Caenorhabditis elegans: one gene and its partners. The protein of the gene in region 1 purifies or fractionates together with the protein of each later gene. This does not show direct contact. Each region holds a gene or a part of one and is shown on either strand. Other genes may lie near its edges. The genes, in order: T05C1.2, rep-1, F47G3.3 and madf-3.

Region 1 (3,344 bases):
ATCTTATTTAAAAAAATGTTTTTATCCAAAATTGAAAATTATCTGCTCTCAAAACCTGTCCCTCAACTCGACTTTTACAGTTAGATTTATTATTTCCGCTTATTTCCGCCATAATTTAATTGACCGCATTAAACTAGTCCTATTTCCAGCTTCACACCCGGCCACGGAAGCGTCGAAGTTACCAAGGTCACCCAAGAAGCCTCACCACCAAAGTTGAACCCATCGAACAGAAATCTTACAACTGACGGAACCCAAAACCGGGACCCGAATTCAACAGGAAGCTGGAAGCTTTTCATTGTTGCACTAATTCCAATTCTTCTTAAAAATCTCTTGTGATTCTATTTCCCTTTTCCAAAAATCCCCTCCAAAAAACATTCCATGTACATATTTACTAGCCATCCGCTCCGCATTCTCCAAACTTCCCATGCATTCAATCCTTCCAATTCCGGTGTTTTTCGTCTTTTTTTTTGTTATTTTTTGTTTTGTTTTTTTTCTTTGAATAAATGAAACTATAAGAAAAGAAGATTAATTGAATATTTGGAGAATTGAAATTTAAATATACAATACACAATGTTCAGAGATCAGAAAAAAATCACTTGTTTTCTGGCTTCTCGTCGTCTTTTTTCTCGGCTACTGCTTCAGGGATTTGTTGTCTGGCGGCGAGTTTTGAGAGCAAAGGAGCTGCTGGATGACGGGCAGTGTCGGCCTGAAAACGGAAGATTTGTTGATAAAATATGATTTTCAATAGCTGGGCTATTGAAGTGCCGACCAGAAATTCTTCAAAATGTCATATTGCACCATGTTTTCCTAATTTTTGTCATAAAAATTATATTATAGTAAATAGAATAATTTTTTCTTTATTTTAAAATAGCTTTCATTTTAGTTTAAAAAATTAAAAACTATCAAACTTTTTCCCGACAAATTCCAACTTTCAGGCAGTTTTACAGTTTTTTTTTACATTTTTTAATTGCTCCAACTAAACTCAAAGCTATTTTCAAATAAAGCACATATTTTTCATTTTTTATTATCAAAATTGAATGTAAAATATTGACACATTTTGTCCAATTTTTAAGAATTGCTGGCCTGCATTTGCCGAACAAACTTATCTAACTCTCGTATTTTTTACTCTATAGAGTGAGTTTGCAGGATAATTTTCTTAACCGAAAAATCCAAAAAAATCTATTTGAGGCCCAAACCCCCTAAAAATTTCTCAGATGTCTGAATCATTTCGATAATATTTCAGTAATGTTTCCGAAACTAAAAATTAGACTTTGTTTCAAAAAATCACCTGGGAGAAACGTCGCATATTGGACGGCAACAAGTGCAGTGGATTGGTCTCAATGGTTAACGAGTGGCGATGTCTGGAAATATGATAATTATTTTTTATTATACTGAAGATTCTAAAGAAGAAGCTTCTCAGACAAACTTCTTAGAAAAAACAAAGTGTGAAAGATTCGAAGAATTATTAAGACGCGACGCCGCAATTGACTCGCACAATTTTAAAGAAAATTTGTTTTTTTTTTCACAATTTTCACTGCCTGCCTGCCTCATGCCTACTTGCAAAGTTTACGCCAGGTAGGCACGAGGTAGGCACGTAGGCTTGAACGCCAGCCTTTTCAATGTTCCAAAACCTACCCCATGTTGTAACCTGTTGGTGGAGAGGCGTCTTGTTGCGAGGCCATTTTTTTCTGAAAAAAGACACCATTTTTATGATTGAAATAGTTTAATTTTAAGGAGTAAAATAACATTCCGCAAGAAAGAAAATACAAAAATCAAATCCAAAAATACTTGTCTATATGAATACTAATCTCACCGAGACATGACGAACGCTATATGTAAATTAAAAACTCTAAAAGCTACTATTTTCTCTCAAAAGTTGCCAATTTTTTCGGTGTCTTACTTCTAAAAATGCACATCATGATGGGATTAATCGGAAGGCAAAAAGAAAGAAAATGAGGAAGTCTAGGAAATGGGAAAAAATTCGATCAATTATTTTTAATTACAAGTACTACTAGTTTGGTCCGTTTGGTTCCAGTGACCAAAACCGAAATTAACAATTTGAAAATATGAAGCTTTTGCTCTCTAACTTTGAAACAATCCTACCTATATAAACATCTTAAAAATTGGGCGGGAAGTAGATCAAAAAAGATTCGGAAAAAATGATGTGAGTTTGAGCTGGATTGCAGAGTTTATCTGTCAAGCCGTGAAACACGTTTTTTTGTAGTCACGAATTGATTTTCAAAAATGCAATGAACTTTGTTTAGTCTGAAAAGACGCATAACTTGCAAGCAGGCACGCTTGTACGTATAGGCATCTTGAAGGCATCAGGTCTGCCTAACGGGGTCCGATTAAATATATGCTAATTCTAAAATATCCAAATTCATACTTGCTCCCCGAGCAACCACTAAAAACACACCAAATACGGGCAAATCCAGCTCAAATCTACATCACTCTTAATCTGACCTAGTTCCCGCGCAAAAGATGATTTAAATCCTGAGTTGTCAGATCCGTCTTAGCATTTTATTATATGACATGTACCTGCACATATATATTTATTTTTGGAACAAAAACTAACAATTATCAGCTGGGTATTATTTGAGAATTGTGTAGATCTGCCTTATAGAGGATATTTGCGGTTTTTCTTTTGGGGATTTTAAACAATGATTCAAATCTCAACTGTCGAATAAAAATTTCTAGAATTTAGCTTCAGATTTTCTGAAAATTTTGGCAAGAACCACGGTGCATGTACTTCCAGAAAAACAAAACAAAAATATATATCCTAACCCGGAACCGACTGTCCTTCAAAAAAAGGAACATTTGAGAAGAATGATGGGGGAAAAATGAGTGATCGTAAAGCGATAAGTGCTCAAAAAAACATGAGAGAACGCACCCTCGTCTCGGTGCTGAAAAATAACCATTTTTGGTGTGTGTGGCAGCTCAAAATGTCAAGTGGGGTGGCTAATGAAAAATTCAGAGAAGCGAATTGGAATTGGTTGTACCTATAGGAAAACAACAAGCTGTTTTGCTAAAGATCTTCAAAAGAAAAAAAATCTACATATATATATATATCCCTGCTTACCTACCTGCCCGCCTACGAGCCCGCAAGCATGCCTACCTGCCTACATGGCTGATTACCTTCGCCGATGCTTGTTTTCGTACACTGAACTCCGTCATAAAAGCTTTTCAAGTTACCTCATTACAATTCGCCTACCTGCAGACCTACTTGTGTTTCTCATTCCTAACTGCTTTAGTGCCTGCCTAGCACCTGCCTGGTTACGTGTCTTTCTCATTCCTGAATTTGTCTGTATGTTCCTGTCTCATATTTGACTCTCTAAGCCTTACAT
Region 2 (7,791 bases), on another chromosome or scaffold:
TTCAAAAAAATTTTTTTTTTTTAATTTTTATATTTTTTCGAAATTTTTTTTTCTAATTTGAATTTCTAATTCAATTTCAGCTCAAAAATCCAATTTTCATCGTTCTTTCGCCCTAACCTCCTCCACCACACTAGCATAGTGTAAATTCGCATCAACTGGCGGCGCGACGACGACATTTTCGGCTCCGGCGGTGTCGAATTTCATGGAATTCGCGGTGAAGCTCATCTTCCAGTAGGGTTCCACTTCTGAAATGCAGAAAAAATATCGATTTTTCTAGGAAAAATCGAAAAACTCAAAAATATTAAAGAAAAACCGGGTTCCAAGCCAATTTTCGCGAATTTTAAGTGAAAAATTCGAAATCTCCGCCCTGAAAAACCTAAATACTCCCACGGGGACTCGAACCCCGGACCTTTTGCTCCGAAGTCAAGCCTGTTAGCCACTGCGCCACCGGTGCGCCGAACCAGCGGCGCGTGATGCAACGCGTGGCGCAGTGGCTAAGCGGCTCGCCTTTGGAGCAAAAGGTCCGGGGTTCGATTCTCCGTGGGGGTGTATAGGTTTTTTATAGCGGAGAATTCGAATTTTTCACTTAAAATTGGGGAAAATTCACTTGGAAATAATTTTTCTCAAAATTTCACTGAATCCTTGCTGAGATTTCAACTCTTGGAGTCTCTATTTTAGAACTTTGAAGCTTAACATATATTAATAGTTCAAAAAAATGGATTTTGTATCATTTTCGAGCGAAAATTTCAGGAAACTAGGTTGTAACTCAATTTTTGCGAATTTTAAGTTAAAAATTCGAAATGTTCGCTATGAAAAACCTATACACCACTGCGGGGACTCGAACCCCGGGACCATTTGCTCCGAAGTCAAGCCTGTTAGCCACTGCGCCACGGGGTGCAACATGCATCACTGGTTAGCTGCAACGCGTGGCGCAGTGGCTAAGCGGCTCGCCTTTGGAGCAAAAGGTCCAGGGTTCGATTCCCCGTGGGGATATATAGGTTTTTTATAGCGGAGAATTCGAATTTTTCACCTAAAATTAGGGAAAATTCACTTGGAAATGACTTTTCCATGAAAGTTTCTCAAATTTTAAGCGAAAAATAGGTTTTCGGTAGTGGAAATTCAAAATTTCCCCCTAAAAATTCCGCGAAAATCACCATTTTTTTCAAAAATCTTCTCTGCAATAGTCTTGACACTTGTTTCTCCTTCTTGGGTACCCGTTGCATGCACCAGAACTGCAAAAAAAAAATCTTTATTTTTCTAGGAAAAAACGTGGGGGCTTACAGTGTCCTTTCGGAGCCGTACAGGCTTCAAAGCCCACTTCAACAAGCCGTGAGACTGCGGCGTCGGGCCGGAGAGATGCCAGATTGAGGAGGGTTAGCTGAAAATTTTTTCGGATTTTTAATACGAAATTCGAAATCCCCGCAAAATTTCACTCTAGAATTATTTTTTCCCAGGCTTCTAGCTCAATTTTGAAATTTTCGGGGTTACTGTAGCGCCAAAAGTACGCGATGCCCCCGTGGTGTTTGCGTACCTGACACCGAATTTTACGAAATTGAACCCAAATTGGCTTAAATTTCAGTTACGGGGTAAATTGGCAACGGGGAATTCGAATTTTGCATTGAAAATCAACTAGGAGCACTGGTTTCTCGAGTAAAATTAAATTTTTCTCGAAAACCAGTTGACCAAGGTGGTTTTCAATGCGAAATTCGAATTTCCCGTTGCCAATTCACCCCGGAACATGATTTTCAGCCAATTTAAGCTCAATTTCGTAAAATTCGGTCTCAGGTACGCAAGCACCGAGGTCAACGTACTTTTGGCGCTACAGTAACCCCAAAAATTGTAACATTGAGCTAGAAGCCCGGGGAAATTGAATTCTAGAGTGGAATTTTGCGGGAAAATCGAATTTCCTGGTGGAAAACTCCAAAAAATGCTCCGGAACCTGTTCTTTCTCGGCTTCTTTAATCGATTTATCCGTCGCATAGACGATTCTCTCGATTTTCAGCGTACTACTAGCTGGAACAGTTTCGGGGACAAATCTCGGGGACATCACGATGTAGCGACAATTTACACGATCTCCATTGGCAATTACAGCCGTAATTCTGGAAATTTTTGAGAAAATTGGTTTTCCGACAAATTGAAAATTTGGGCATAGCTTCCGCATCTCCGAGTGACAAATGTGCTCTATTGTCAAATTGTTGGCAGAAATACGGTATTTATTCACATTTTCAGCACAATTTAAGGCTGAAAATGTGAATAAAAACAGTTTTTATGCCATCAATCTGGGTAGAAACACATGAGTCACGGAATATTGTATAAAACTAGTTTTGCTGGGAATTTGACTTGAAAATTAGGTCAAATTTCGCAGAAACTATTGATTTTTCGCTTATTCTCTTCACTAACTTTCCATCTTTTTTCACGATAGCCTGTACAGGCCGTCCCAGACAATATAAGCTCCCAAAGACTGCTGCCAGCCGGCAAAAGCACTGTGAGAGCTCTCCACATCCGTAGAGTGGGAAGAGGAATGGCGATGGACCGAAATGGCCGACAGAATCCATGAACTGGCATGATGCCAACATTCCCTGGAATTTGGAAAAATTTTAAATTTTGAAAAAAATTTTTTTTTTTTTTTGAAAATTTGTTTTTCTCAAAATTTTTTTCAATTTCAAATTTGACATGAAAATCAACTCGAAATTCGAATTCTCCACATCACCAGCTTCCAAATGACACCCATCATGCCCATGATCCATCGATTTTGAAAATTTTGGGTCCCGCCACGAGGGGTACTGTAGCACCGGTTTCAGCTGTGTCGGAGCGCAAACTGCACGGAAAATGGGCATGATGGGGGTCATTGTAAAGCTGAAAGCGTTAGAGATTTGAATTTTTCAAAAATTTTTAGCAAAATAGACAAAATCAACATTTTTTCGAAAAAAAAAATAATTTTTTGCTCAAATTTTTTTCAATTATAAATTTCTTTTCAAATCGACTCAAAACTCGAATCCTCCACATCATCATCTTTCTAAAGACCCCCATACTGCCCGGGTTCCGATGATTTTGAAAATTCGGGTCTCGCCACGCGGGGTACTGTAGCACCGGTTTCAGCTGTGTCGAGACTGCCAAAACTCAAAATCAACGGACCCCGGGCATGTTGGGGGTCATTTTGAAGCTGAGAGTGGCGAGAATTCAAATTTTTCAATAATATTTTGAAAAAAATTGAAGTAAATTTCGTGCAAAAAAAAAAATTTTGGATTTTTTTTTCATTTTCAATTTTTTTAGAAATTCAGATTTTTTTCTAAAAAACAGTAATTTCCGCATATTCACCGTCATCGCAGTGGGTCTTTGCTGTAAAATGCCGATCGTATTAATAATAAAGCTCTGCAGGGTCTTTCCAACGCCCATTTGCTCCAAAAACTCTGAAAACGGGCGGTCGGCGTGCTCGGCGAGCAGTTTTCTGCCTTCTTCCGTGTCTTTTGTGCTCCATTGTGTGCAGAATGTGATGAATTTCATAAGAGCTCGCTTTTCCAGGATTCTGGAAGAATTTTTGGAGATTTATCATTGCGAATCGATTTTTTTGGCAAAGAAAATCGATATTTTATCGATTTTCAGCCTAAAAAAATCCCTTACGACAAAGCATTGCTCTGAAAAATCTCTCCTTTGCTACATGGCACCGGATTTAGGGTAATTCCGGCTTCTGGGGTCTCTGTTGGGCATAGCTGCCGGTTGACAAGCTTAAACTCGGCATAATGGGATACTTGGGAGTCACAGAGTGTTTGAACCTGAAAAAATTCAAAAAATTGGAAGAAAATCGTTTTTTTTTTCCAAATTTTTTTCAAGATTTTCAAAATTTTCCCATAAATTTTTGTCAAACTTTTCAATATCTGAAAATAATGCGGAAATTCGAATTTTTCGACGCTCTCAGCTTTCGAATGACCCCCAACATGCCCCGGCTCCGTTGATTTTGACTTTTGGAAGTTTTGACACAGCTGAAGCCGGTGCTACAGTAACCCGCGTGGCGAGACCCAAAAAAATCAAATTGCATGGAACCAGGGCATGATGGGGGTCATTTTGAAGCTGGTGATGTGAAGATCTCGGAAAAAATGTTAATTTTTGAATATTCTGAAAATTGACAATTTTTTGGAAAATATTTTTCAATTTTTTTAAATTTTCGATATTTCAGAAAACTAGCAAATAATTCGAATTCTCCACTTTATCAGCTTTCAAATGACCCCCAACATGTCCGTGGTCCGTTGATTTTGAATTTTGGCAGTCTCGACACAGCTGAAATCGATGCTACAGTAACCCGCGTGGCGAGACCCAAAATTTTCAAAGCGGTCGGAACCTGGGCATGTTGGGTGTCATTAGACAGCTGGTGGCGTAGAGAATTCGAATTTCAGAGTTTTAAATGAGGAAATTGAATTTTTAGAAAAATTTTTCTTTTTTTTCAGAAAAAAAGTTTCAAAAAAAATTTTTTTTTTGGCAAAAATTGATTTTTTGATGACTATTAGGGCAAAACATCAAGTTCTCCAATTTAGGTGTAATTTTGCAATTTTGTACCATTGCTCCCTTGGAAAGTAGAATTTTCGGCACTAAATCGATGGAAAATCGCCGCATTTGTGAAGCCTCTTCCAGTTGCGTTTTCATCGGCTTTTCCTCGTCTTTTCCACGTGGAATCCACGTCATTTCAATGTTTTCCACGATTTCTCGATTGCCGAGCTCAATGAGCTGCTCATTTTCAGTCAAAAGCTCTGATAACTTGGAAATCTCCGAGGAATCCAGCTTTTTTACCTGAAAATTCGGAAATTTTGGGGTTTTTCTGGCTGAAAATCAATAAAAACCTGATTTTCAGTCACTTCATGAACCATCGACATTGTGAATGATGACCAATCACCGCCGTAGTACTCATTTCTGCAAAAATATTTTTTATTTCGAATTTTTCAAGAAATCGAGTATGAAATTCGAATTCCAGACGTTATCAGCTTTCAAATGACCCCCAACACGCCTAGGTTCCGTGCATTTTGACAACCGACACAGCTGAAATCGGTGCTACAGTAACCCGCGTGGCGGGACCCAAAATTCTCAAAGTAGGCGGAATATGGGCATGATGGGGGTCATTTGAAAGCTGGTAACGTGAAGATTTCAGAAAGAATTCTGATTTTTTAAATTTCTGAAAATTGAAAAATGTTTTGGCAAATATATATTTTTTTTTCTTAAAATTTGTTTAATTTTCGATATTTCCGAAAACGAACAATTAATCTGATTTCTCAACGTTATTAGCTTTCAAATGAGCCCCAACACGCCTAGGTTCGGTGTATTTTGACAATCGACACAGCTGAAATCGGTGCTACAGTAACCCGTGACGGGACCCAAAAAAATCAAAATCAATGGAATATGGACATGGTGGGGGGTTATTTTAAAGCTAGTGACGTGGAGAACTCGAATATGATATCAGTTGGCTGACATTTTTCGAAAATTGGAAACTTTTGACGTTTTCCGAAAAATTTTCCACAAACTTGGTCAGAAAATTTTTACTTTCTGATTTTTCCCGAAAATTAATGTGATATTTGAATTCATCAGGTTCTCAGCTTCAAAATGACCCCCATCATGCCCAGAATCCGTTTATTTTGGGTCCCGCCGCGAAAAACTACAGTAACCCGAGGAGTTTTCGTGGCGGGACCCGAAAACTTCAAAACCAGCGGAATATAGGCAATTTGGGGATCAAATTGAAGCTGGCGACGTGGAGAATTCGAATTTTGCTGTATTTTTGAGGAAAAGTTATGATTAAAAAAAAAATTTAGCCGAAAATAATTTTTTTTTCGCAAAAATTTTTTTTTTTTCAATTTCATTCATTCATTTTTTTAAACTTTTTTTAAATGTTAGTTCGCCTATTACCTATCTAAATGAAGCACAGATAAGCCAGCTCGAGCACAAGCTGAAGCCAGAATGGCTTCAGGTAGTCCGGTGCCCAGCACCACTACGTCCACTGATTCTGGCAACTTTTCGTCCATTTTTTAGAGCTGGAAAAGCTGGAAATAGTTTGAATTTTTGGAAAATAAGAGATGTCATGCTTAAATTTGAAAAATTGAAAAAAACCAAAAAAAAAAAAAATTTTTTTGAAAATTTTCCAAAAAAAATTTTTTTTTCTATTAAAATATTTGATTTACGGCTGAAAACCTTTAAAAATTAACTAAAAAAAGTGGAAAAAACACGAAAAATCTTCATTTTCACACACACACACAAAACTTAACAAAAATGGCACGGGACGGGGGGAAGAGTTATAATATTTTTTTCAAATTTTCTGAATTTTTGCACAAAAAATAAACTTTAAAGGAAATGCTACACGTTGTGTCATTAAAATGTTAAAATTTACAACAAAAAATAAGGGGAATCTAGCAACAAAATAAATCAATTGTTTGGGAAAAAAATTGCGAAATTTCCAAAAAAAAAATTTTCTCAAAAAAATCAATAAAAATCCAGAAATTACATCCTTTCGTAGAGTCGATGAGGTTTGACACGTTCGTAGAATAGCATATAACTTTGACAGGCTGCCACGTGGGAGTACGGTACACGGGTTACCTGAAAAATTATACAAGTTTTCGGGGGAAAAATGAAAATTTGGGCATAGCTTCCGCATCTCCGAGTGACAAATGTGCTCTATTGTCAAATTGTTGGCAGAAATACGGTATTTATTCACATTTTCGGCCAATTTAAGACTGAAACTGTGAATAAATACAGTTTTTATGCCACCAATACGAGTAGAAGCACATGGGTCACGAGAAAATGTTTAGGAAGGGAATATTTAGGAAATTCTGTGAATTTTAATAATATGTCGTTTTTGTGACAAAGGCTCTTCGTTGACTGGAAATTCAAATTTTCTGAGAAAAATAAATTCGAGAAAATTCTGGAATGTTCCAAAACTTTCTAGAGAAATCGGGAAAATTCTGAAGTGTTCAATTTCGTGGAAAATTTCAGGAACCTGCAAATTTCTAGAACCTTTCGGAAAGTTCAAAAAAAAAAACTTCTTCAAGTTTTGATACTCCTAGAATATTCTGAAGTTTCAATAATTTGAAAAAAAAAGATCAAAATTGTTATAATTTCCAGAAACGCTCGCCAAAAACTCTCGGAAAGGACCGGAAAAAAGTTTTATATGATTTGAAAAACGTTTTTTTTTAGTTGTAAACACTCAGCTATATAATATTTATGTTGCTCGAAAACTTCCGGAAAACAGAAAAAAAACGTTCCATCTACAGAGAAAGGCTTAGAAATTTTAGAATTTGATTTCAATTTTGAGTACGCCAGTCGGAGCACGCGCTTCAGCGCGTTCGAACGGCTGGTATATATATATTAGGTCTCCAAATAAGTTCCGGGTCAAAAATCATAACTTTGTTCGCTGCGTATCGATTTTTATGAAACTTTGGGAATTTACGTTATCAACCATGATCTTTCACTTGACAATAGTCACGAAAGTTTTTGACCACCCCAAGTGTCCTAACGCGGAGCCAATTTTTTCAGGCATTTTTCTGATCTCGCTTCTTTTCAGTTTTCAATTGAGCTTTGTGTGCGGATTTTGCTTTGTTTAGATTATTAGAAAACAACAGAAGTTTGGAAAAAAATCCGCCCAAAAAAAAATTTTTTTGGTTGGTCGTCAAAAAATGTTCAAAATAATTTTTGTCGAAAATTCTAGATTTTTCCTACAAAAATGATGTAACCAAGTGTAAACTATTTTTCGACATACAAAACATATCAACTTAGTTCGATACACTAAAATGATAGTAGAAAATACAATTTTTTCGGATA
Region 3 (5,630 bases), on another chromosome or scaffold:
AGTTCACTAAAATTAGTGACTCTGGCAGTTCACTAAAATTAGTAACTCTGGTAGTTCACTAAAATTAGTGACTCTGGCAGTTCACTAAAATTAGTGACTCTGGCAGTTCACTAAAAATAGTGACTCTGGCAGTTCACTAAAATTAGTGACTCTGGCAGTTCACTAAAATTAGTGACTCTGGCAGTTCACTAAAATTAGTGACTCTGGCAGTTCACTAAAATTAGTGACTCTGGCAGTTCACTAAAATTAGTGACTCTGGCAGTTCACTAAAAATAGTGACTCTGGTAGTTCACTAAAATTAGTGACTCTGGCAGTTCACTAAAATTAGTGACTCTGGCAGTTCACTAAAATTAGTGACTCTGGCAGTTCACTAAAATTAGTGACTCTGGCAGTCTGAGCTGATAGTGAGACATAGCCGAGACATAGCCAGGACCTGGAGATGCTCCAAACGACACTTCCTTTTAAGTTGGTTTCTTGCTCAAAGCGGTTTCATAATTATACCTACAGAACCTGATGAATTTGTGCATTCAGAGAACCAAAAATCAAAACAATTAAATATTTAGAAGCAAACTGGAGAAATTTAAAATTTATTTCTAAATGAAAAACGGGTGGGAAGAAGTGAGACCGAGATTCTTGAAATGGAGAAAAAACATTCTCGAGATGAAAGTAACATAAAAAAACATCCATGAAATGTTGGCGCACAAAAGTTATGAAAGAACTTCAAAACAGGTGTGATTGAGGGAGGGTAAAACTTTGAAAACAGGTATTGTTTCAAAAAGTAACGGATGAGATGCAGAAATACCAAGGGAATCAATAAAAAAGAGTATTCAGGAATGCATGCACAAAAACATGAAAAGGAAACATTATTGTAAATGCTCCTTTTAACAAAACGACTCATAGTTGGAAATCTATAACAAAAAAATGTGAAAACTGGTGAATCAAATGGTGATGTCGAACGAATGCATTGGCTTTCTATCAACTAGTCATCCATGTTATCGTCTGCAAGATGTTCGTCAGGAGAGGGTCCTGAAGCGTCCATTGCACTTGTTACAGGCTCGGATGAGTTACTGTGCTTTCCCAACATCTCACTAGTTTTGCTCAGAAGCTGGTTAGCCTTGTCGAAAATAGTTTGCTGGTCCTTTGTTCTTCTATTGTCAAAGCATGCGTCAATAATCTGAAAATAGAATAAATTTTTTGAAAGTTAAGTACAAAGTTGAGTTCGTACATATTCCATTTTACGGTAATTTTAACAACTTTTCAGCGCCCCGAATTAAAAGCTTCTGTCAATAAAGAATTTAGGAAAAAACTTGTTAGCAAGCAAGATCAAATAGAAGCCTCCAAAAAATGGCGAGCTAGGATACTAGTGATGGTCAAAACTTTTAGAAAATACCGACACAAGAAAAATTTATGAATTTTGGCTTAGGACTTATCGCCGCCCTAAAGTATTCCTTACCGACTCCAGATACTGATAGATTCCCATTTCAACCAAGCTTGTTTCACTCAAATTTTCAAAATTTGAAGTAATCAATTCAAGAACGTCATTGATAGCGATTTGAACATTTGTATAGTGATAAGAATAGTCCGACGCCTGCTTGATGTCCAACGCTGTTTGCTCTTTGGCTGAAATTGAATACGATGTACGGTGCACAAGCGCCTGATTTCGACTTACCTTCTTGCTCACCAACAATGAATTTAGCGCTCTGGAAAATGGAGGCTCTCATCACATAATAATATCCATAATCAATGAAAAATGCAGAGTCCATTTGATGTCCATCTTGTGGATCGCTTCTCTCCAATTTTTGGATCATTCCAATTCGTCTATTGAGTGTCAACTGAAATTATTGAAATTGTTTGCCGAATAGGATTCTGTAAAATCAATATGAATTTTTCCAGTACATTTTTTGACATATTTCAGAGCCCCCAAACTTATTCAAAGGTTGAGCTGTGCCACGGTGCCAAAAGGATCAGATATTATAGTAAAACATTTTGAAAATTTATCGACCCAAACAACTGTTTTTCTACCATTTTCACACTTTAGTGTCAAAATATTCTAGAGGTCGGAAAATGCGACCTTGCTCTGGATTTCCTTAAAAGCTTTGATAGAAAATTTGAGAAAGTCTAAAATTTTGTGGTCGTTTTGTATCATGATGAATGTATTTAGACAAAACTTTCATAATATGAAAATCTTACCTCAACCTCACCAAAAACTTTCAGAGCACTCTTCAAGTTCTCGTCAAAGTTCTCGTTGTTTGCAAAGAACAACACCTCATTTCCATGCTCAATGACTCTTTTGCAAATTTTTCTCAAACCGGTCCAGACTTCCGCGGTGACTGGATTGTCACAGAGATCGATGTAAGTGAGGATAGCAAAGAACGCCTCAGTTTGCTTGGAGATGTTGGCAGTAGTGTTGTTGAAGAGACGTTTTCCGATTGTGAGCAAGTTGTTTCTCAGACGGTTATTTGTGCACTTATCCGCAGCCTTCAGAAGTGCAAGACATTCTTCTTTCCAATAAGAACTGCCTTCTTGTTGGTACTCGTGGGGGTGAGCAATTTTCTGAAAACTTTATATATTGGTACATCCATATAACTCTTCCAAACCTCTGCTGCGAACAACTCCAACTCCGCATGCAGATTCATTTGTTGAAGGTATTTGATGTACATAACGCAGATATATTCGTACGCAGTGGATCTATCTGGTTTTTCAGCTGCCAAAAATTCCTCAAACAGTGCACTGATTGCATTCTTGTTTTTGACTTTTGCTGCTGGATCTGCAAAAAAACTGTGATATAGCTGTGCAAAATGGTTTTCTAAAATACCAAAAGTCTTGTGAGAGAATCCAAACATCTCATTAATCAATTTGACCAGTAGACTGTGCCAAAATCCAGACACATCGCATCCGTCGGCGAATGTTGGAATCTCGGCCTGCAAAATATATTTCTTTCGTTCTTCTTAACAGAGGAGTTATGATAACATAAGCCAAATATCATAGTAAAAATTTCCGAAAATTGTTTGAAAATTTGCGTTTCGATTTAAAAACTGGCAATAACTGAGATTTTACCACTTGTTGAGAAAACTATAGAGAAGTCATGTTGGAATCTTTACATTTTTAAATATTAATATTTGAAACTTAATTCGAAAAATATATTAATTTGTCCGATTCCAAAACAGTGGCAAAACTGGGCCTTTCAGAATTGTTTTGTTAAATTATGATATTTGGTCATTCGACTCGACAAAGTGGCTAAACTAACTCCGTTTTAAATTAGTTTTAGAACCATATTTAGTTTCTACAAACTAAAAAGTGAAACGACCTACCACAAATCTGCCCAAATGAAGCGAAACGTGAGCTTCCGCTGCCGAAAGTCTATCAGCAACGTCGTCGTCATCGTCGTTAGTTTGTGACTTTAATTTGTCCATATAACTCGATACGCTTCTGTGGAAGAAAATCAGGAACGAGTCAAAAGCCTGACAGAGATCGTCACTGAAGATCTGTAGCTTCACGTTTTGGTGCAATGTGTGCAGGGATCCCGTGAGATTTCCGAGAGTCTGAAAATAGGATTGTAATTGTAGAAAAAAAGCAAAAAATGAACTTACGATTTCGGTTCGGATAATTTCGAATTGACTTTCCATATCCGTCATTGTAACTGAAACAGGTAAGTATTTCAAAGTATATTTAAGGATACAGAAAGAGGAAAAACAATCGGAGCAAGTAGCTAAAAAAAAAGTAACATCTATCGCTCATAATTTTGGCAACTCAATTGAGGAGTTAAAAAAACCAGTGCATTTGGTAACTAATGGTAAAATCAGTAAGTTTTTACGGACGATTTGAAGGAATTAGCTTGAATAATAATTTGCATCGTCTTTCATAAGAACATCAAAATGTAGATTTTTCTGAAAATTGGAGAATTTTTTTATCTGTTTAAAAAAATATTCAGAATTTTATGCCTCTAAATTTAAATGATATTTTCATTACTTCTGCTTGTTCTGGTCCGCGACAGACTATGCCATTTAACATATCGCTGATACTCATCACTCTCGTATGTCTCTATTAGATGTTTTTCAAAATAAGGGCGAGAACTCGTATACATTTTTTGTCCGGCGAGAAAGAAAGTGAGAAATTACGAGAAAAGTGAGAAATTACGAGAAAGTAACGACATTGCTAGGGAAATCGAAAATGTTGTTAGAGATACGGAGACGCAGCAACAAGGAGATAAAAAGAAAAGAAAAGGTATTTGGGACTGAGCAAAAAGAATGATTTGTTGCGCCGAGAATGCTCTGAGAAGTATTGAAAATTATGAATAAATGCGGTGAGAAAATAAAGAAAATCTACATGTAAATACGTGAGATAAAGGAATGATTTGAGGCTCTTCGAACCATTCAAAAAACTGACCGGATAAGGAGACAATGTGCGAGAGTACACGCAAGAGAGTGGAGAGTCTAAGAAACGAGACAAACGTGCGACGAGGAACACTGCGGTGTCTCAGCGCGGCAGATGGTCTCGTCACGTTTGGAGAATGGCAAGAGGGCAAGGGGTTGAATTAGGGAAAATGTATGTCTGCTATTTTTTTTCAAAGAATAAAATTATTCGGGGGCAGATAGCTCAGTCGGTAGTGGTGGCCGCTAGCAGTCTGGAGGTCACGAGTCCGGCCTCACCCCCTAGGTTCACCCAGCCTCTATTGGGAAGTGGAGCAATCCACGACTGGATTATCGGCCACAGTCCCCGGCTAGGACGTGGCTTAAATTACAGCCCAGAGGGATCACCACCAGGCAGTGTACCTGAATCCCAGATCCGCAGTGCATAGCACTTGAAGAACGGATCGTCCTTTAATCCTTTTTAAAATGTATGTCTGCTATTTACATGGTATTCAATCGAAGAGAGCAGGTAGATCATTATTGATTTTGGGATAGTGCATCTCTATTCTAAGCGATTTTGTTGAGGTCAAAACGGGAGACGGAAGAAGAAAATAATTAATTTATTTATATGAAATCGGATGATTATCCTGTTGAACGACGTATTGGAGATCAGTAAAGGACAATTATTCGTATTTGTTCAAAATTTTCATTTTTCATAAATATCAAGAAAATGGTGGCGACAAGTAATTGGCTAAAATCCATAATTTTTTTGAGAGACGTTAAATTCAAATTTTTTAACCACCCGTTGTGCCCTAACTTGGAACCACTTTTTTGTGGCGCCTGCCCAATCTCACTTATTTTAAGCTTTGGTCTGTTTACTTGCGGATTTTTCAAGTCTAAAATACAATACTAGAATACAATAAGGGCATTGTCTAAACTTATTTTTCAAAGACATAAACTATTCAAATTCAATACGTTAGACTCAATTGTAATTGAACAAATATTATCGTGGGCCACGTTTTTTTTTTTAGTTTTTCAGGGTTTCTCGAAAGTGGAATTTTCAATCTGAGTGGTTTGTATGTTAAAAATTGCTTAAACGCGAGGGCATCAGTTTTGTATTAGAAGTCGAAGTTTTTCGACAAAATGTTTAAAAAAGATTCTTTGACGCACTTTTTATTGAACTTTTATTTAAAAAATTTTGAAACTACGGACAGATGAAAATTAATAATTGATAACTTAAACTTCCATAATTTCTAACAGTACTGATAGACGACAAAAAAA
Region 4 (6,669 bases), 150 kb from region 1:
AACGAGACCGCTAAGAAAGTTTTGAGGTTTCCAAAATTCAACTTTTTTGGTGAAAAAGTCGAGATTTTCGCACAAAAAAATTGAATTTTGAAAACCTCAAAACTTTTTCAGCGGTCTCGTTATGAAAATCAGGTAATTTCAGCATCTAAGCATCATATGTATCATGTTTCAGAAAAAGTTTAGGTTTTGTATTCCCGTAATCCATCATATTACATTGACCACTTTCACCGCTGCTTGCCCACTGAATGCATGATTTTTTCACTTGGAAATTGGAAATTGTTTTAGCATCTGCAAAAAATATTTATTTATCAGTTTTATTAAGAAAAAACGAAAAAAATCGATGAAAAACGAAAGAAAACAGGCGGAAAACAAAGCAAGATAAATGGCCGCTGAAACTTGTCGGCCCCTCGGCCATGGCCTAGAAACCACTTTTCCTCGTCCCTCGCGAGGAAAAAGTTGCAGTGTAACTTTCAGACTTCGCGGTGAGACCCATCCGCAAAAAATTTTTCAAAATTTTTCAAAAAACACAGATAAAAAGTAGGTTTTGAACACCTTAAAAGAGGTAAATTTACAACAAAAAATCCAAATTTTCTAGGATAAAAATCAATTATTCATGAAATAAAAGGACCTGAGATAGGAAAGACGGCGATGGAAATTAAGAAACTGCCCACAAAAATTACAAAAAAAAATACAGATACAGAAATATTGTACAAATATGAAAATATGATGAGACCAGTTGATGGGATAAAGATCAAAAAAATTGGAAATAAATGCGCCAAGACTACAGTACCTGGGGTCTCGAAGCGACAATTTTTGTTAAGTGCGTGTGTAAAGGTGTGCGCCTTTAAAGAGTACTGTAACTTCAAAAATTCGTGAATTTTCATCAATTTTTCATAGTTTTTCGATAAAAAAGACAATAAATTTTCACAAATTGTGAGAAAAACTCGACAAAAATTCACAGTTAAACACAGTACTCTTTAAAGGCGCACACTTTTTTCAATTTTCAACTTATCAAAAAAAAAGTTTTCAACTTATCAATTTGGGTCGTGGCGAGACCCGGCTTGGGGTAAAATCGAAGAAATTTCGAGGTTGGGTAATAAAAAGTGGACAAAAAATTGAAAATTTCGGCTAGAAAATTCAATAAAAATCACAAATAATTAGGAGCAGGTGTAGACGGAGGTTTAGCGGATTCCAAAAGTATCATAATCTGCTGCTTTGCAATTATTCGTGCTTCTTCTCCAAGTGTCCTTAGATCCGATACAATTGATGCAGAGAATGCAGAATCTCCGTCGAGAAGTACATCACCGTTGTTTGGTCGCTTTTCAGCCATCATCACGTAGTTTATGCTGGAAATTTCAGGGGTTTATTGATTTTTTTTTTGGCAAAATAAAATTATTATTTTGGAATTATCTGTGATTACTTGTCGGAAAAAATTGCACCAAATCATCAAGTTTTCGCAAATTCCAAATTTTTAAAATTTCATTTTTCTAAATCTTTGAATTTTTTTTTTTGAAAATTTTTCAATTTTTCTAGAGAATCTAATAGAAATCACCGAAAATTGTCTTAAAACCGCCACTATTTGCTTCCGACCAATCAGCGCCCGACTCCGCGCAATTCCGAACCAATCAGCGGCACAGGTCGTCGCTGATTGGTTCAAAAAAGAGAAGGGGCCGAGCGCTGATTGGTTAGAAGTTGATCAATTTTAGAGTCAAATTTCCTCTTTTTTTTTCATCAACTTTTTGCTCATTTTAGCTCACTCACTCATCATCGTAATCTCCATAATCTGACATTTCATCCTGATTTCCTCCGTCATTGTTTCCCCCTCGTTTCAGACTTCGAGCACATCGAGATAGTTGCTCTGCAAAATTTTAGTTTTTTTTAAAGTATTTATTCCGGCGATTTTAGGAGCCACGTAAAATAATACATGGAACTGCGTAATTCGTAATTTCACATATGGCGGTGCGAAATTTTTTACATGTCAAAACAAGAGTTCTAAAACTAAACTCTTTTTTCGTATTTATATTGAGGAAAAAAAACGATTTTAAAGCTGGAGGAGTAGGAGTAAATGAGGGATTTTACTTCAAAATGCGCAAACTGATCCTGAATCTCTCTGCATCCACACTATTGTCCGTAGATCTGCATCCGCACTATTGTCTTCACTTGCGAGGAAAAAACGGGAAAAACTAGAATTAACGTCGCGCAGATACAGATCTACGGAGTGCGGCGCTGAAAAAGGCGCGGCAATTTAAATGATTAGGAGATTAGTCAGAATTGAAAATTAACCAAAATCAACCGATTTTTTTTCAAACTTAATGATTTTTGATTTTTTTTTTCGGGGGCCTTTTATGGTATTTCGGCATTCAGGATCAGTTTGATTTAAAGGTTTTTTGTTTTAATTTTCCAGGAAAAAAAGCTCGTACGTTCATCCAAATGCTGATCTATCCAAGCCATATCATCATACATCTCCCAAGTTGACACATCTTGAACATTCGGATCACCCTGAAGTTGCTAAGAAAAATTTGTAAAATTTCTGTTTAAAACAAAAATAGAGGCTCCACGAAAACGGGATACTGTTGAGAAAGGGGATTCTGGCACTGTGCCAATTTTTTCTCAAAGAAAAATTGAGTTTTGTGCGTTGGCAGTGCCAGGCAGGGAGGGGCAAACGATTTTTTCCGGCAATTCCGGCAAATTTCCAACTTGCCGAATTTGTCGAAAATCGAAATTTCCGGCAAACCGGCAAATCAGCAAATTGCCCGAAATTAAAACTTCCGGCAAATCGCCAAATAGGCAATATCCCGAAAATAAAAATATTCCGGCAAATCGCCAAATTGCCTAAAATTAGAATTTCCGGCAAATCGCCAAACCGGAAATTTGCCGAATATCAAAATTTCCGGCAAATCGCCAAATTTGCCGTTTATCAAAATTTCCGGCAAATCGCCAAATTTGCCGTTTATCAAAATTTCCGGCAAATCGCCAAATCGGCAACTTGCCAAAAATCAAAATTTCCGGCAAATAGGCAATTTTCCAAAAATCAAAATTTCGGGCAAATCGCCAAATTGCCTAAAATTAAAAATTCCGGCATATCGGCAAAATGCCCAAAATGAAAACTTCCGGCAAATAGGCAATTTGCCAAAAATCAAAATTTCCGGAAAACCGGCAAATTGCCTAAAATTAGAATTTCCGGCAAATCGTCACTTTGCCGGGAATCAAAATTTCCGGCAAATAGGTAAACCGGCAACTGCCGCCTGCCAGATCCCATTTTCCATAAGTTCTCCTTTTCATGAGGCCTCCAAATGCCTACCAAATTCCTCAGCCTCCTCTTCTCCCTAACATATCGATCTCGATGCTTCTTCCATTGTTTATAAATCGACGGAACTGTTCCAGGATATCGTAGTTTATCAATAATCATTCCCCATGCTTGAGTACGACAGTCTCCATGACGATATTTTGGATCACGAACATCATAAAGACACGGATGCCTTCTCACTTCAAGAATTAGATTTTTTCCAAAACATGGCTCAGCAATCTTTTCATGAACTCCAGTTGGCTCTTTTCGAGATGGTGATATTTCTGCTCGATCTGTCATATGTGGATCTAGAAAATGAAGATGTTTGAAATATTGCCATGATGATTTCTCATTTCCATATTTTTGTTTTCTCTTCTCTTTTCCATATTTATCTCTTAATTGCTTCCATCTCGCAGATAACATTCTCGGATCACCATCAAAACCGAGTACAGTAACCAGACGCTGCCAAACTCGATTTTTGTATTCTGTATTACGGTATTGTCGGTCTGTATTGTCGAAAAGGCATCGACTATGACGGACGGCTTCGATGAGACGTAGGTTGAATGTCGGTTCGATCATTTCCTCGCCGAAGCGGGTCGCTGTGTAGTTCCTGCAAAAAAAGGTTATTTATGATTTTTTTTAGAAAAATCAGATAATTTTCTGATTTTTTTAAGCGAACTTTTTTTTCGGAAAAATGCTTTTTGGGATTTTTTTGAGTGAATTTTTGATTTTTCTAATTTGAAAAAAAAAACTGATAACATCAAACTTTATCCAAAAATATGTTCTTAAAGGAAAACGCGATTTTTTGAATTTTTATCGAATATATAATTTTAAAAAATAGTTTTTCTGTCGGAAATTAATTTTTTTTTAAATTTTTTACAAAAAAAGCGCAGTTTTTTTTAAAAAGAAAATCGAGTATTTTTTCTCAAGAAAAAACACCTTAAGATTTTTAAAGATTTTTATCGAAAAAAAATGTGTTTTTAATGGAAGATCAAGTTTTTTTTTAATTCAATTTTTTTTGATAGAATATATAATTAAAAAATGGACTTGTTTCGAAAATTAACTTTTTTAAATTTTCGTATTAAAAAAATTGCAATTTTTTCGAAAAATCTGGTATTTTTCGAAGGTTTTTAGAAACATCTTTTTTTTAAAGTAAAAAACGTTTTTTTTTTTCGAAAAAAAGTGTTTGCAAAAACTGATTTTTTACCTTTTTAAAATAAAAAATTGTTTGTTGAAAAAAAAAAATTTTGACAACAAAAGTTTTTTTTTAATTTTTTTATTTAGTAGATTAAATTATTTTTAGCACTTCGTAAGTACTTACAATTAGAAAAATTTTCTTTTTTCATATATAAAAAATTGTTGATTTTTCGCCAATTTATCGGAAAATAAATTGGATCTTTTTTGAGAAAAATCTGATTTTTTTTTTCAAAAATTCGATTTTTCTAAATTTATCCAAATATCATTTTAAACTCACATATCGTATTGTTCTTCGTGATATAAATGCTGATAGTTGTGCTCACTGGAGATCATGATTAGCTGAAAGTGTTAGAGCAATCGCTTTTTGAGACGGCTTTTAGAGATATTATGAGGAAGGTTTTAAGGAAACCATTATGGGGAATAAAAAGAAAATAGATGTGATAGAAAATATTGATTTTTTTTCAAAAGAAATCAACAACAAAAAAACAAAACAAAACAAAAAAAGTAACAATTTAAATCTAAAACAACAGAAATCGCAAGCTCGTGTACTCCACGAGGAGAAGTAAAGTACTAGAATTTTGAATTTAACACTAAAAAAAAATGATTTTTTGCTTTAAATCCCAGAAAAAAAATGAGATTTTCAATTTTTGGTGATTTTTGGCAACTTAAAAATTTTAATTTTAAATTAAAAATTTGCATTTTGTTAACAGTTGCTGTTCGGCAAATTTCTTTGTCGACAAAATCGGCAAATCGGCGAATTGTCGACCTGCCGATTTACCGAACATAAATTTGCAGGAATTTTTTGGAAGAATTTTTACGAGACGGAAAAACTTGAAACTGTGCTTTTTTGAAATTTTTTTGTCGGTTTTCTAGATATTTTCATAGAATTTGCCAATTTTCAAATTAGATGTAGGAATAGTCATAGGATGCGTACAGTTTTGCCGATTAAAATTTAAATTCTGAAATATCAAAAAAAAAAAAGGTAAAAAATCGCAATTTGCCGAAAATCTATGGCAATTTCCGTTTTTTCGGCAAGTTGCAGGTTTGCCGATTTACCGCAAATTTTCAATTCCGGCAAATTTGCCGATTTGCCGGAAAAAAATCGTTTGCCGCAAACACAACTTTAAATGCCAAAAATATACCGTAATTTTAATTTGAAAAAGTGGAGATTTGCAATTTTTGGTAATTTTTGGCCACTTTTAATTGTTTTAATTGTTCAAAAATTTGCATTTTGTTAACAGTTTTCTGTAATTTTGAGCAAAAACTGTAAAAATTTTGCACTTCTCCACGAGGAGTACACGAGCCGCGTAAATCGACACAAGCTGAACAAAAATTACAATATTTAAAATGAATTCAATTTTCTTCCTTTTTCACTTTTTTCGCCGCCAATTTCTTCTGAAATCGATCTCTTTTATCCAATTGTCCACTAATTTTCTCCAGCTTTCTCTTGGAATTTGTCATTCTTCGAGTCCTCATTTCCTCCAAATGCCTATCAGCTTCATCTTCATCCATTCCACTCATCAGAAGCTCTTTTCTTCGATTAATCTCCTTTTTCTCTCCGAATTTCTGATTTTCCAGCTTCAACTCGGCTTCTTTCTTCGCCACAAGCACTTGGGTGACGTATTTGGTGACATGTTTTGGGCTGACCTGAAAAAAATGCGAAAATTAAGGGAATTTATTGATTAAAAAGTAGATTTTTTGTGTAGAGAAATGAAAAGAGACGGGGGAAAAAATGATGAAAAAAAAATTATTTGCGTCAATATAGAGAGAAACGCAGTCAACTAGAGAGTGAAAAATGAGAGGAAAATATTTTTTTTTGGCGTCATTGAAAGTGGAAGGAGTTTGGAAATTCAATATTTTGGCGGGAAATTCAAATTTTTTGAAAAAAAATGTTTCTTCCGCCTTTTTCGTGTTTTTAGCAGAAAAACTCGCTTTTTTCGAAAAAAAAATTAAAAATTTTCCTTTTTTATCCAAAATATGGCACTGGAAAATTACAAAAGAAGTGCAATTTTTGTTTTTTTTTCGCTTTTTTTCTAGATTTTCCGAAAAAAAAATATAGCTTCAAATTTAGGCAATTTTTCCCTATTTTTTGCCGAAAATTATATGTTTCTCATGTTTTTTGAAATCAAATTTTAGAAAAAAAATTCAATTTTTTAAAGATTTAAAGATTTTTCTTTAAAATATTT

What was found.
Region 2: the proteins of T05C1.2 (region 1) and rep-1 fractionate together in Caenorhabditis elegans (co-fractionation; one large-scale study listed by BioGRID). This does not show direct contact.
Region 3: the proteins of T05C1.2 (region 1) and F47G3.3 fractionate together in Caenorhabditis elegans (co-fractionation; one large-scale study listed by BioGRID). This does not show direct contact.
Region 4: the proteins of T05C1.2 (region 1) and madf-3 fractionate together in Caenorhabditis elegans (co-fractionation; one large-scale study listed by BioGRID). This does not show direct contact.

What each region holds. Positions count from the first base shown.
Region 1 is NC_003280.10:4,480,433-4,483,776, forward strand, and holds T05C1.2 (Protease III), read right to left. Parts: upstream 1,690-3,344; 5' UTR 1,683-1,689; coding exon 1,636-1,682; intron 1,363-1,635; exon of another isoform or gene 1,362-1,362; coding exon 1,289-1,361; intron 707-1,288; coding exon 593-706; 3' UTR 511-592; downstream 1-510. Other genes in the region: T05C1.1 (Activin_recp domain-containing protein), read left to right, coding at 150-336.
Region 2 is NC_003281.10:1,568,535-1,576,325, reverse strand, and holds the start of rep-1 (Rab proteins geranylgeranyltransferase component A 1), read right to left. Parts: upstream 6,021-7,791; 5' UTR 6,003-6,020; coding exon 5,887-6,002; intron 4,903-5,886; coding exon 4,833-4,902; intron 4,783-4,832; coding exon 4,552-4,782; intron 3,774-4,551; coding exon 3,622-3,773; intron 3,527-3,621; coding exon 3,319-3,526; intron 2,580-3,318; coding exon 2,401-2,579; intron 2,100-2,400; coding exon 1,940-2,099; intron 1,379-1,939; coding exon 1,282-1,378; intron 1,233-1,281; coding exon 1,155-1,232; intron 994-1,154; exon of another isoform or gene 921-993; intron 897-920; exon of another isoform or gene 824-896; intron 552-823; exon of another isoform or gene 476-551; intron 455-475; exon of another isoform or gene 382-454; intron 246-381; coding exon 118-245; intron 1-117. Other genes in the region: Y67D2.2 (Ubiquitin carboxyl-terminal hydrolase), read right to left, coding at 6,475-6,570. UniProt on the Caenorhabditis elegans protein: Substrate-binding subunit of the Rab geranylgeranyltransferase (GGTase) complex. Binds unprenylated Rab proteins and presents the substrate peptide to the catalytic component B and remains bound to it after the geranylgeranyl transfer reaction.
Region 3 is NC_003284.9:2,374,002-2,379,631, reverse strand, and holds F47G3.3 (KIF-binding protein), read right to left. Parts: upstream 3,648-5,630; 5' UTR 3,636-3,647; coding exon 3,591-3,635; intron 3,543-3,590; coding exon 3,312-3,542; intron 2,922-3,311; coding exon 2,816-2,921; intron 2,768-2,815; coding exon 2,598-2,767; intron 2,554-2,597; coding exon 2,191-2,553; intron 1,833-2,190; coding exon 1,670-1,832; intron 1,621-1,669; coding exon 1,454-1,620; intron 1,175-1,453; coding exon 980-1,174; 3' UTR 546-979; downstream 1-545.
Region 4 is NC_003280.10:4,332,903-4,339,571, reverse strand, and holds madf-3 (Alcohol dehydrogenase transcription factor myb/sant-like protein), read right to left. Parts: upstream 4,825-6,669; 5' UTR 4,761-4,824; intron 3,897-4,760; 5' UTR 3,866-3,896; coding exon 3,302-3,865; intron 2,500-3,301; coding exon 2,421-2,499; intron 1,859-2,420; coding exon 1,762-1,858; intron 1,347-1,761; coding exon 1,148-1,346; 3' UTR 534-1,147; downstream 1-533. Other genes in the region: H20J04.4 (RNA helicase), read right to left, coding at 5,837-6,130.